2 linked regions of the Drosophila melanogaster genome follow. The gene in region 1 interacts genetically with each later gene. Each region holds a gene or a part of one and is shown on either strand. Other genes may lie near its edges.

Evidence for each region. Genes that interact genetically often act in the same process or in processes that back each other up.
Region 2: of CG5808 (region 1) and KLHL18, changing one enhances a phenotype caused by changing the other (phenotypic enhancement), as found in Drosophila melanogaster (one study listed by BioGRID).

What each region holds. Positions count from the first base shown.
Region 1 is NT_033777.3:24,813,049-24,820,527, reverse strand, and holds CG5808 (uncharacterized protein), read left to right. Parts: upstream 1-3,520; 5' UTR 3,521-3,575; coding exon 3,576-5,209; intron 5,210-5,271; coding exon 5,272-5,599; 3' UTR 5,600-5,625; downstream 5,626-7,479. Other genes in the region: Saf-B (scaffold attachment factor B), read right to left, coding at 1-799, 1,679-1,725, 1,828-1,942, 2,090-2,117, 2,178-2,666, 2,792-2,911; CG34150 (uncharacterized protein), read right to left, coding at 5,664-5,830, 5,894-5,975, 6,036-6,179, 6,231-6,251; lili (lilipod), read left to right, coding at 6,878-6,952.
Region 2 is NT_033777.3:12,005,354-12,012,128, forward strand, and holds KLHL18 (kelch like family member 18), read right to left. Parts: upstream 5,082-6,775; 5' UTR 5,021-5,081; coding exon 4,889-5,020; exon of another isoform or gene 4,812-4,888; coding exon of another isoform or gene 4,791-4,811; coding exon 3,937-4,790; intron 3,875-3,936; coding exon 3,616-3,874; intron 3,543-3,615; coding exon 3,060-3,542; 3' UTR 3,010-3,059; exon of another isoform or gene 2,748-3,009; intron 2,576-2,747; 3' UTR 2,123-2,575; downstream 1-2,122. Other genes in the region: GCC185 (GRIP and coiled-coil domain containing 185 kDa), read left to right, coding at 5,578-5,607, 5,670-5,769, 5,830-6,775.

The DNA.
Region 1 (7,479 bases):
CGCTCGCGCTCCTCACGTATCTTCTGGTAGGACAGCATCTCTCGTTGACGACGCTCGCGCTCCCTCTGGCGCTGCTGAATCTCACGGTCGACGTCGCGTGGATTGCGCCCCGAACGATGATCCTGACTACCCTTTGCGGATCGCTCGCGATCGTGGCGCGGTCTATCCTGGCTTGCCAACGACTTGCCCCGGTCATCGTTGCGACGGCTGCGGGCCCTGTTGCTCTCCTTGCCATCACGCTTTAAATCGCCACCAACAGACTTGCTGTCGCCGTTTCCATCGCCGCCCTTCTTGTCATCGCCACTGTTGGAGCTGGAGCCCTTGCCACTACCAGACTTTTTGCCACTGTCGTCTTCCTTCTTCTTGTTTCCGGCGTCGCCCGGAGCCTTGCCCTTGCCCTCTTTGGAATTCAAGCTGCCGCCAATCTCGTTCTTGGTACGCTCCACCGAAATGATGCGTCCATGCAATTCGGTGCGGTGCAGATTTTCGATGCAACGCGAGGCGTCTGCCGAGGAGGACATGGTCACGTATCCGTAGCAGCGAGTGCCCGGAGTACGCGTATTGGTGACCACCTTGGCCCCAATCACCTTGCCAAACTTGGAGAAGATTGCCTTAAGGTCGCTGGCACGGGTTAAAGTGGACAGCCCAGAAACCCATAGATTTCGCGACAGCGTCGCCTGCTTGTTGTTTGAGTTGGCCCCAGTACCATTGCCAGCACTGGAACCGGATCCCGATTTACTGCCAGCGGCACTCGATGCAGTGGAGGATGTGGCACCACCAGGTGCTGCTGTCGATTTCTCTGCAAGTTCCATGTAAATAATAATATTGGAAGAGAGATATGGTCAGAGCTTTGAGTGGGCTTAACTGGTTAACTGTTTTTGTTTATGATACGTTTTTAAGGGAAGCATTTTGTGAACGCACACATTTTGTAGCTGCTGCAGATGTTGGAGTTTAGAGCACAATCGTAAGATTACCGACAAACTTCACCTAACGAAGCTAAGAGAGTATGAATTTGATTGGGTTGCTGATGAAAATCCATTGCGGCAGCAGGCTCGCTTTTTGCTGAAGGCGTTCAGAGTATAGAGCAGCATATCCAGAGCTGACTGTTTAAATAGCTGTCAGTTTCCATCGTCATCCACAGGTAAGGCCAGCATATCCTAGCCAGGATCGAAATAAGTGATGTAATACAAATCCAGTAGTTATCTGCCGAGAAGAATTAAAAATATCCGCACTTCCCAGCTGCAGTAAGGGAAAGGTGCCATCCATTTATTCTCCAGATAGCCTCATTTTATATTATAGGCCCCTCAACGGAGTATTTGCACATACGCCTATTGATGACCAATGTTATAAACTCCTTGGAGAACATTGGGATGTGTGTTTGATTAGTATGAAGTTTCCGTCGAAGTTAACTGGAACAAACACTAAGATTAACTCGAATTGCTGAATTTAAGATGCATCGCTGCTCCTGAGCCGAATTCTCGCATCCTTGTTGATAAGAGTCCCATGTCCGTGTCCCAACCAAATTCACACTCTCTTGCACGGTCTTTGATACATGTTCCTCAATGGTTTAGTCAATTTTTTCGACCTTAACTGGGTTCATGCTTGGTCTGATCATTCCCAACGCAAGACCATCCGAACACACCATTCTTATTCATGCTAAAACTTTAACTTAATTTACCTTTATCGTCCTTTTGATTCGACGACTTTCCTGAGGACTTTTGTTCACTATTTTCCATAATAATTTATGCACAATCATGTGGCGAAATGAAAAGAAAAAATATATTATGTTATTAGAAGACATGTCACAGAAACGTTTTCAAATCTTACCTAGAGTCCTTCTTATCACCGGATTTCTCATCCCTTTTCTTGGAGCGAGCTCCGTCGTCATTCTTCTTGTCGGCATCCTTCGAGTTAGACTTTTCGGATTTATTGGCCGGTTTGACTGTGAATCAGGATAACTTTTATTAACATATTAGCTTTATTTCTTGTATTTCGTATTTCTTAATCGATTGCATGAATACAAACGCCATGATATTTCTAGTCATGAATTATAAATTTTCTATGGTTTTGAGTGATACTGCAAACATACCAGACTTAATAGATTTGTCGTCGGAAGCCTGAGGACAAAACAAATTGGATTAGAATACATCAATTTAAGGCCAAATAGTTAAAATCACCTCATCGTGCAGCAGCTTCTGCTCGTCCTCCCCAATTGTCAAATTGATTGACTCGTCATTGTCCATATTTCCGGTGTCCCCGGTGTTTTCCTCCTCACCATGGATAATAGCCTTGTCGTCGCCATTGTTCTCGGCTCCATCGTCCTGAGCTTTCCCCTCGGCATCGCCATCACCGCTCTGGGGCTCATCGTCGTACACATGATCCTCATCCTCTTCATCGTCGTCATCCAGGATCACACACTCATCGTCCACATCTCCCACCTGGTCAATCTCATGCCCATCGTCGTCGGCATGATGCGAGTAGTCGTTGCCATTCTGGTAATCATCTTGCTGTTCCACCTTCACCTCCTCCTCATTGGCATCGATGGGCTCTTCCTTGATCACCACCTCCGACTGGAGATCTTTCATGGGCATGGCAAACGGCTTCTTGGCCTTCGCGCCCGGCACAATCAAGTGGGTGGCCGGGTCGAGCCCTTCAGCTCTGAGTGACTTGAAATTAGAAAAAACCAGGCGTTGCTTACACACATTCATAAATCCCCGGAAATTGCATCACTATCTCTATCGCCAGCGGCACTGAACCGCCATTTAAGTTGCATACATATTTGTGGACTTACTTTTTCAAGGCGTTCGATGAGCACCGCCTTGGGGCCGACTGTCTCCAACTCGCGTTTCTCCAGCTCACTCTTTAGATCGCACACGCGCAACTCTGCTATTTTCTTTCCTGCCTCGGGCATTTTACCTTGTTCTAGATCACTGGTCACTTGCTTAACTATTAATTGTCGCTTTTTAAGATTGGAATGAAATTTTCTGTACTTTTTTCCAGTCTCGAAACGTGTGAAAATTCTTTGACAAGTCTCACTGATACACACACAATTATCGAATGACAATCGAAAATGGCGATTACGAAGTTACGTTCTGTTTTTAAAATATTCAATCGATGTCAAGTATCGGATGAACTTACGCATCGTGTATAACTATTTACATTTACAGGTATGGACTTCTTTGATCAATTTGTATTTTCTTTATTTTTTTTCAGTTTTGTTCAGTTTGTATTTTTTTTACTTTTTTCTCAGTTTAGGGTACATAAAAAAAAATATTTTTTTTTCAAAATTTATGTAAAATACCAATTTTGTACAAGTTTCATATAACACCGACATAAGTCACATTAAATTAATAATTGTATTAGAAAATTTGGATAATTAATTTATACCTACAATTTATACACTTCTCTCCTCCGATGCGCAGTAGAGATGGAAAAACATCGATGATTCCTCGAAAAACATCGATGTTTGTGATTTTTCGAAAGCATCGATGATATCGATTTGGCATCGATGTTTCTCCACCTCTATATTGTTCTTGTTTATCCCTTGATTTTGCCGGTATCTGTGAATTCGCACAATGTCGGTGGTTATAGAAACCACGATGGGTGACCTGACCGTCGACCTGTTCATCAGCGAGCGCCCAATTGCCTGCCTAAACTTCCTCAAGCTGTGCCGGCTGAAGTACTATAACTTCAATCTATTTCACACGGTGCAGCAGGGATTCATCGCCCAAACAGGCGATCCGAGTGGAGCTGGAGACGGCGGATCCTCCATCTGGGGCGTGGTGGAGGGTCCGCAAAAGCGCTTCTTCGAGGCGGAGTTCCTGCCCAAGATTAACCACTCCAGTGCCGGAATGCTATCGCTGGTCAGTGCAGGCAAGAATCTGGTGGGATCCCAGTTCTTCCTCACGCTGGGTGAGAACCTAACATCGCTGGACGGCAACCACTGCGTTATCGGTGAAGTGGTGGAAGGTCACGAGGTGCTGCGCAAGCTAAACGACGCCATTGTTGACGACAGCTTCCGTCCTTACCAGGATATACGCATCACACACACTGTTGTGCTTGAGGATCCGTTTCCTAATCCGCGCGGCCTTCAGGCTCCAAGTCGCTCACCTTCGCCCAGTGCGGAGCGTCTGAAGAACGGGCGCATCGCTGCCGACGAGGATATCGATGACACTGATGGCATGACCGCGGAGGAGATGCAGGAGATGCTGGCCGAACGAGAGGCCAAGGCTCGAGCCACAATCCTTGAGATTGTCGGCGATTTACCCGATGCAGACATGGCTCCGCCAGAAAATGTCTTGTTTGTGTGCAAACTCAATCCTGTTACAACCGACGATGATCTGGAGATAATCTTTAGTAGCTTCGGCGTGCTTAAAGGATGTGAGGTGATTCGCGACCGCAAAACGGGAGATTCTCTGCAATATGCTTTTGTGGAGTTCGAGGATCAAAAATCTTGTGAGGCCGCATATTTCAAAATGGATAATGTGCTTATCGACGATCGACGCATCCACGTGGACTTCTCCCAATCCGTTTCAAAGGTCACCTGGCGGGGCAAAGGACGTGGTATTGAGGGCGACTATAGAAAGCTGGATTTTAACAATTTGCGAGACGACAAAGATCACAGGAAACCAAACAATGGCCGGTCCAGAACAGAAGACCATAAGGAGCGCAACAGGACGGAAGATTTTCGAAATAGGATGAGCTCTGCAGAGCGAAGAAAAGCGAGAGAACAGCGACACCAGGAGCAAAGCGAACGAGATGTTCGAAAGAATTTGCAAAGACGCACCAGATCGAAGGAAAAAGATGAAAAAAGTGTTTATAGATCGAAAAAATCGCAAAATGAGTCAGTCAGAGAGAACTCAAATCGCGAAAGGAATCGCAATGAAAAAAGGTCATCGAGGTCTCGGGATGCAACACATAGAAGGTACTCTAGGTCAAGAGATCGAGAAGAGAGAAGGCCTTCTAGGCCTAGAGACCAATTAGGAAGACGTTCTAGGTCAAGGGACCAAAAGGAAAGAAGACGCTCTAGGCCAAGGGAACAAAATGAGAGAAGGCGTTCTAGATCTAGAGATCAAACTGGAAAAAGACCGACTCAAAACAGAGATCGCAATGACAGCAGGCGATTCCATTCCCCTCAAGAAGGAAGACGTAACGATGAGAGATCGCATAGAGAAACCTCCAGGAATCAAAGAAGATCGCCAGAGCGGAGGTAAAAATGTTAAGCATCTGGATGTATACAAAATCTTTAACTATCTATCTATCTTTTTATAGGCAACAATCCAGGAACCGGGAAGACCATAGAATGGACACTCACTCAAGCCCTAACAAGAGTCATGAGAAGAAAAGAAAACTTTCAGTGGAAAAGAGCAAAAAGCAAGCCAAGAAATCGAAACGAGCAGCTAGCAGCAGTTCAGATTCGAGTGAAAGTTCCTCGGAATCCGAAAGCGACTCCACATCTTCAGATAGTTCCGAGGACAGCTCTAGCAGCTCCTCATCGTCGGACGATCGCAGCAAACGCAAAAAGAGTACAAAATCCAAGCAAAAGAAGTCCAAGTCAAAGAGTAGTCACAAATCGAAGAAGAAACATAATAGAAATTAAAGATAAACGACGTAATTAATCAGAACAAAACCATCTTGACTACAGCTAAATATTGAATATATTTTTATTTGTTGCGGGCCTGGACTTCGGCTTCCAGCGCCGCCATCGCAGCGCCACCGCAGCAACCTTCAGTGTTTTTGTCGCCGCGTTGCCTGCGCGGTTTTTCGATAATTGCGTCAGGATTAAAGACCACATTGTCGAGTCGCGTTGTCTCTGGCGTGATCCTTAGTTCTGTAAATATAGCCAAATTTTAATTTTGAGCGCTCTTTTATGTAATCGCCATGCCCCACTGACCATAAACACCATCCTCTTTTTTCTGGGCTTGGATGACATTCGTTCGCAGCTCCAAATCCACGTCCTGCGCCAGCTTGATCATCTGTAATTTGCCAAATTGCCATATATGTACTTAGTTAGAATTTACAAAAAGTGGTTAAACCTTTTGAATTTCATCCTCGCTGCTTTCATTACGATTCTGCAGGAAAGATTCGTTGATTTTTAGTCGTCCCGCCGCCAAAGCATTGGCATCCCCCTGAAAAACGTATTGTCGTGTACGGTGGAGCTTCTTGAAAGCACTGAGAACCTGGAATACAAACAATATTAACCGATTATTTATGATTTTAAGTTAATTTACCTGGCGCCGCAAATTGGACATTTTTGTATGGTAACAGCTGACAGATGTAAGGTTGCCAGAATGTCTGAACCAATTGATAGTTTTTAGGGTTACAGTTTTCTTAACTTGAAGATATTGCATTGGTATAATATTTTTTTCTCTAATAATAGAGGTCAATAAAAATTTTAAATTCAGTATTTTCTTTCCAATTCAATTTTTTTTTTTTTAGAGATTCAATATTTTCCTTTCTAAACGTAAGCACATACATCGAAAGCTATCGACCTATCGTCAATTGTCCACCTCTAGCAGATGCGGTCAATCTGACGCCAGTTTATAGAAATCTTTTAACGTTTCGGTCGTAAATCGGCTCGAATGCTAGTAGAAAATTAGTGACCAGCGCAAAACGGGTCGAAAGGCAATGCGGCATCAAAAAGTTAACTAAATTAATCACAATTACCGTGCGAAATCAGACAGTGCAGCGCCACAGCGACTTTAATTCAGAAAATTTGTAACCTGGAGCGCATTACTAAGAAGGACTGTTGCCCATAGGAATTTGACAGACTCTGGCGACTGTCAAATGTGTATGTAACATTTTTAAGTGAGGCGTGATCTAGGAAAAATTGTGAAAACTGGCTACCAGCGATAAATTGTCCAAATATTTCGTGGGCATGGACGAAGAGGAGGAGGAGGAGGTTACGGATCTAAAGCTGCAATTGTTCCACAATACAGTACGCGAGCACATTGTAAGTGTTTTTCTGGATTGAATTCATCCCCTTTCCACCCAATTTCCCACCCCACTACGCATAAAACAACAACAAGAACTCAGGGCGCAGCTGTCCCTATTGTTGTTGTTCTAACTGTACATGTGGCTGGGTGTAAAATGCGTGCGACTTCTGGAAATTACACACACTTCGCCTGGTCTTTTGATAAACAGAGAAATCAGTTGCTGGTCGTCTACAGAAATGTATTTGTTTATGGTTCTGTTATCGGTTTCGGACTACAGTGGTCAGCACATTCGGCGCCTGCGTTTGGGCTTTGTATATAAAATCGGGGAAGGAAGTGGCGGCGATAGCCACTCTCTTCTTGCACTTTCTATTTGAGCTGCGAAAATTATCACGCAGACACACCAAAAGTGGCCCACACGGACGGACACCTGTTGTTAATCAAAGAGTTTAGACACAATCGATGATTCGACGGCGAGATACTTGCTACCATTACCAAGCTTTATTCGTTTCTATTTTATTATTAGAACTTTATAAACAAATGTTTT
Region 2 (6,775 bases), about 13 Mb from region 1:
TTACAAGTAAAGCCAATTCGCTTGGGAAATATCTTTCACTTTCAGTTCTATCTAACTGTTTGTCCAAATGCTCGCGTACCGAACGCGCCGAGAAGTATGCAACAACTGAGCGACAGATCGAAGCGACAACGGACCTTTATAAAAGCGGCAGAAGGATAAGGCCGAAACGAAACAGGAAGCCCGACCGGCAGGACACGAAGTTCAGCGGAACACGAGCTGCCTCGGCTTGTGTGTGTATGTGTGTGTTTGTGTGGGTGTGAGGGTGTGTGTGTGTGCTCGTGGATATCAACAATTGGTCGAATAGAATCTGAAACGATACGAGGTGTGAGTGTGTGAGTGTGCGAGTGTGGCGATGCGGTGTGTGTGCTCTTTTATGCGGCCGCCACTTCAGCGTGGAATAAAAAATTGCCTCCTCGCCGGAGCAATTGAATTGAACGGAAATTCTGTTTGCATATGTGAATAAAACATATGCAAAAAGTAGGCAAAATGCGAAAAAGGCATAGGCACAAAAGGAGCAAAAGATACGAAAAGTGAAATGAGAATGGGAGCAACAGCATCCAAACTGGCCAAATGGGAAAGTTTCGCGTATAAGGAAATATTAATTTCGTTTTATATTACGTATGTAGTCCCGTACTCGTTGCTGTTTTTGGTTTATTTTAATATTTATGATTTACCATATGCCTGCGAGATGGACAAATAAAAATTATGCACTTTGTTGATTTTTCCCGGGCTGTTTGTCCAAAAAATTTGTAATTAAAATTGTTCCCATATGACGCATATAAAGCAAACAAAACATTGACCTTTCAAAAAGTGTGTTGGGTGTTCGAAACATTTATTGGCTACAAACGAGATATGCAATGAAAATAGACTACGTTCTTTGGAAATAGTTGGTTATAAAAGAATGTTGTGCTTTTTTATGTATATATTGCAGTATTTATGATTGCATTCAATATATTAGCCATGAATATTTTACATTTTAAATACATCAAAATTATTACGGAATCGATTCGATTCGATGCAACTATAAGATGCATTCCATACCTGGAGTCTCATTTTGACTTTTGAGCCGTATTTCAATCATTTTGAAATAAATCAAATTTAAAGCGGCCAAGCGGGTTCGTCTCAAATGCGTCACAAAACGAGCCGGAAAAGTCGTTGCAGCCAGATTTCAACGGGTCGCGACCATCAACAATGCACTTGAGGCGAGGTCGCGGCATTTGAGATAAGACAACACCCGGATCACCCGCATCACCCGCATCACCCGCAGCAGGCGAATCCCTCCACACGCCACTCGGAAAGGCCAAGTGGATGCCACACACATCCGGGGGCCAGCTCGTTGCAACTTGCAGCCACTACAACGCCAGTTTTTCGGTCTAAAATTAAACGTGGAAGCATCGCCGCTTCCTGCAGGCATCTTATCTTCGCATCCTTTCTTGCAGGACTGCCTTCCGCCTTTTCGGGCAATTGAGTCGTAAATGTTACAGTGTATAGAGAGCCCGCTGAAAAATTTGCATTTAAATTGCAACAGATTTCGGGGCAAAAAAAAAGCCAATTCCTCACCCTCCAAACAATTAGACGGATTTCCAACTAAACGAGCTCCAGTTTGGTGGTGATAAACAATTGTCCCCGGTGATGCAACAAATATTTACTCCAACCATTTGGTAAACATAATTAGCATTTAATTAAAATAAAATTGCCCATCGATAGACAAGCAATTTGTGATTTGATTATCAAAATCAAATAAGACCGCCGCCACAAAGCCTTTTCGCTTGTGCAAATAGCCGTGCCGCTGCAGAGCCACATAAATATACATGTAGCCATTGGCAATCGGGAACAGGACCGGATCGTATCCGGATCGGCGATAAGGTCCTCCATCGCTGGAACCATCTGATAACTGCGAAATATGTACGTTAAGTGTGCAATTGATTGGATTATGACCCTTTGCTGTGCGTATGGCATTTTATGGGTCAGTGATAGACGGCAAATTGATTTTGTTTTGGTTTGGTTTCGTTAGCCTCTATTTTTGGATGCGCCATTGCCACCTGTTGCTCCGAATTAGTTTTGCTGCCGCTGCACTTTGAGCAGGTGGTGCAAATCGAATTTAAAATTGCATTCCGCGCGTGGGAGGTGTACAAATATCAAGGGAAGAGATACTCCGCATGTTCAACTGAGATGCAACGAGGGAAGGTACATTTATTCGTTACAAAATAAGTAGAAAATTGTAGATAGACATTGGGACTTGGGTAATAATATTTAATCATTTTTAATTAAAACTGAAAGTATTTTAGGGACAATAAACAAGTGCACTGCCTTCCATAAAGGCCTGCTTATTGACCATCAACTTTTTGCGCTGCCCTCGCCATTTTCGCCTTTTTGTCGCTCAGATTGCTTTGTTATTTGTCAACCATTTATTATTGTTCAAATAAAACGTATCCGCCGCCCATATGGATCGTCGAAACACAATTGATTTATACGATGTGCAAAAGGTTGACAGTCGTCCCTTTACTGTAAGGAAATTACTGAACTTTAACAACCTTCTAAAACATTTCAAGATTACAAATGGCGAGGGTAATGACTGAAAATGAATACAAAGAATACGTCTTTAGATAACTTTAATGTTAAGAGTCTAGTTCAATTTAAATTAAATTAAATAAAATATGATTTAAATTGGTGTGAAATTGATTTTAGTTATACATAGGACTATTTTACCCGTCTTACAAAAATAAACCAACCATTAATAAATTTTTACATAACATGCGTTATACATGTTTTTATTTGGAGGATTAATATTGTAATGAGTATTTAAGGCTAGGCGTAGTAACTAAACAATTACATAACTGGAATGACAAAATCTATAGAGCTGTGAGTAGTATATGAACAATTTTGATAGAGCTGCAAGAGCTGAGCTGAGTTGCATACGAGGCGGCCGCACGAGGTGCCACTAAAGCTTGGTTACCCTCAACAATCATATCTAGGCTAAACTATATCGATTCAATTCACATAAATTACCTAAGACGAGTGTGGCTAGAGAAACGGGTTTGGCAGGCGAATCGAGTGGGTTACTCGATCCGTATGACCCCGGCTCCGACACCACCACTGTGTGCGCACATGGGCGGCATAAAGGTCCATTTGTCGGTCTCCGGATCGTACACCTCGACTGTAGACAAATTTGACTCGCCATCATAGCCGCCGATGGCCCACAGTTTGCCCATGTTGGCGGCCAGAGCCACCCGCGAGCGTTTGCAATTCATTGGTGTCACCAGCTTCCAGGTGTCCGTCTGAGGGTCGTAGCACTCTACGGATCGAAGGAATGAGTTGCCGCAGTAGCCGCCGCACACGTATATCTTTCCGTTCAGCGTGGCCACGCCCAGTCTACAGCGACGATTCAGCATGGGCGACATCTTAACCCAGACATCTTCGGCCTGGTCGTACCGCTCCACCGAATCGAATATGGACAACCCATCATGACCGCCAAGGGCGTAGACGTAGCCGTTCAATTGGGTAACTCCACCAGCCGAACGATATTTCATCATTTGAGCAACCTTCGGGTAGTGAAATTAAAGTTGGATCAGTTTTCTTACCCATCTGGGTTACATAGAATGTTTGTTTACTTACAGTCTTCCAAGTGTTAGACTTTGGATAGTAAACTTCAACGGTGTTGAGCGACGTGACGCCGTCGTAGCCGCCGCACACATAGATACAATCATCCAATGCGGCCACGCCCACGGCGCTGCGTTTGCAGAGCATGGCACAGCCCTGGGACCACTTGTTTTTGCGCGGGTCGTAGACCTCAACGGTGGACAGACGTTCGGTGCCATTGAATCCACCAAAGGCGTACAGCTTGCCATTCAGAACGGCCACACCCACGCGAGATCTGTCGAAAAATTGGCAATTAGTATGGGATAGAATAGAAATAAATGCTCCTCGCACACTCACCTCATCATGGACATTTGTTCGCCCATTTTCCATTTTTTGGTGAGCGGATCGTAAATCTCGACCGTGCTCACAGATTCCCCAGTGCTGGCCAGTCCTCCCACGGCGTATATTTGTCCGGTAAAGAACTCACCGGATCTCTGGCGCGTGCGAAAGCTCTGCAGCAGACCCCTGCGCTCGGGCATGAGGTGAAAGTCCTTGGCCTCGTCTAGGAGATCACGGCATTGGTGCGAGGATCGAATGAGTTCCTCGCGGGCCACACGGTCCGCCAGGAACTGAGGCGAGAGCAATGGCAAACGCACTGCAGCCAGGACCTGAGGAAAGAGCTCAGAGCGCTTGTCTTCTGCGTACTTGACCCACTTCATGCAGGCCTCGAAGATGACCTCCTCGGTGCGTACGTTGAGTTCGTCCCGGCGCATCAGCTCCAGCAATTGTTCGCAGTCCAGGGCGAGAAACTCCTCCGACTGCGAGACTTTGGCAAAGTTTTGATCAATATACTTGTCGGCAGCGTCGATTAGCTGCCGGCAGATCATGGAGTCGGCGAAGGTGCGGATTCCCAGGACATTGTGCGGATGAAAGCGGGAGATCAGGAAACTGGCACAGGCATCCCGCACGTTGGACAATTGCAGGAAGCTGGCGCCCACCATCAGGTTCTGCACATTCTGGTTGTCGATGCGCACTTGGCCGCTGTAAACATAGTTGATCAGACTCTCCAGGGCACTTGGCTCTATGGCGCTCTCCTTCATGGTGATCTCCTTGATCCGACTCTCTGCCATGTTGTTGGTGAACATCGCATAGAAATACGGGATGGTGGCCGCCAGCACAACGCGGTGCGCTGAGAAGGTCTGATCTTCAACCTGCAATAATTGGGATGGCATTTTATATTTAGACGCTAGATAATGAACGTATCTCTGAGCTGCGGGTGATTGAATGCCCCAGTCTGCACGCAAACAACCTTTAGGGTGACATCGCACAGCTTGCCCATCCTGCGGATTTCCTTGAACAGGGGGAAACTCTCGCCGAATAGCTTATCATGCTTGTAAACAAAGTATTGATCCTCCACTTGGCTATTATCACTCAAATCCATCACTTTAACGGATCAAGAAAATGATAAACAGTAGAGATGCCAAATGTTGCTTGTACTGCAGAGCTAGTGGTGGTCAGTGGTGAGCGGTCACATTAATCGATAGTTGAGGTTCCTTCGATAGTTGAACAACACCAATAGTAGTGAAACAAATTTATTGAATCATATTGTTTAATTTTAAAGGTAACGTTCTTGGACCAAAATGTAATTTCATAATACTTATTAAAAAGTTGAGCCCTTTTTATGCAACAGTGATAATTAAATCCTTAAAAAGCACATATTTTTAAGACAATATTATTCTTTCATTTAATTTTAATTAGTAATTTTTCCGTTTTTGCGTCACCTTCTTAAAAAAAGACGCTCATCACTAATTGGGCGGTGATGACAGCCCTATCAGCTGTTAGTGTGGCTGGAGTGTTTTCTTCGCTCGGATTGATTAAGGGTCCAAAAACATTTTCGAGTAATCTGGGTCGCTTGCTAATTGGAAAACCACTGATCTGAGTTAAGACATAAATGTTTGGACCGCTATTAAATGCAAGGATACGAAAATAGCAAGTAACATGGAAGCCGCATCACCGAGGGAAACCCAGGTGAGTAAAAAGGTGTCGCTAGAATTGATGATGACGTCTCATCTTGTTATTTGCATTTGCAGAAGAACCCGAATCCGATCGAGGCGCTGAGCAAAGATGAAATCATCAGCAAATACAAAGGCCTGCTCAACATCGCTAAAAAGGCGAAACAGGCAAAAGATGGTAAGTTTGATGGAGAGTTTCAGGGAATCTTCCAGAATAATGCAAGCCACTCTCTTTCAGAACTCACCGAGGAAAATCACCGACTCAAGGATGCCCTTAAACGGGCGGCGGAGAAGCAGAGCAGCCTGCCAGCCATGCAGGAAATGGTCCAGGACTTCACCGATAAGAACCTCATCCTCACCGAGGAAGTGAATAATCTGAAACGAAAGACCAAAGAGGATGCCGATCGACTGACGCAATTCGAGATCGAGAACGAGAGCCTAAAGCGCCAACTTGGGCGACTGAGTGATGAAAACGATGCCCTCCTTGCCAATGTGGATCGCATGGAAAAGGCTATGCAACAGGTCAATGCTCTGGGTAACGAGCAGCGCAAGAATCTGGAACTTTTGGAAGTGGACATTGCCAAAATTAAGGAAGCGGAGGCGGAAAACGCTAGTCTTCGCCAGCAAGTCGCCACGATGGAAGAAGAGTCGAGTGTGCTGCAGCAAAAGTACCAAAACATCAAGGAACTTAACTCTGAGCAACGCAAGAAGTTTAATTCTCTAAAGGACCGCTTCATTGATGTACACCGCAAGTTGAAGAACCTCAAGGAGTGCAAGTGCGTGCTGCTGGAAACGCAGCACGAGTACGCCGCATCCGTTTCCAAATGGCAGGTGGAGATTATCAAAGCTTCGCAACTGTTGTGCGCAAAGATGGCATCCCTGCAGGCCGAGAATGAAAAACTGAAGCTGAACAATGGAAAGTCAGACAATAATCCTCAAACAATTGACACTGGAATTGACCGCAAGCGCTTGCTGCAAAGAGTTCAGGAAATGGATCGGCTAGCCAAAATAGTGAAGCAGAAGCAAAAGAACCAAAGGAGCAATTTGAATGTGGAGTACCTACTTAAGAAGATAACCGCTCTCGAAGAGCTTGCAGTCATTATAAAGCAGCAGCATAGAATTGACAAGGAACAATTGATAAGTGTAACGAAGGAGCAGGAAAACACCAAAAATCACGCCAGGAA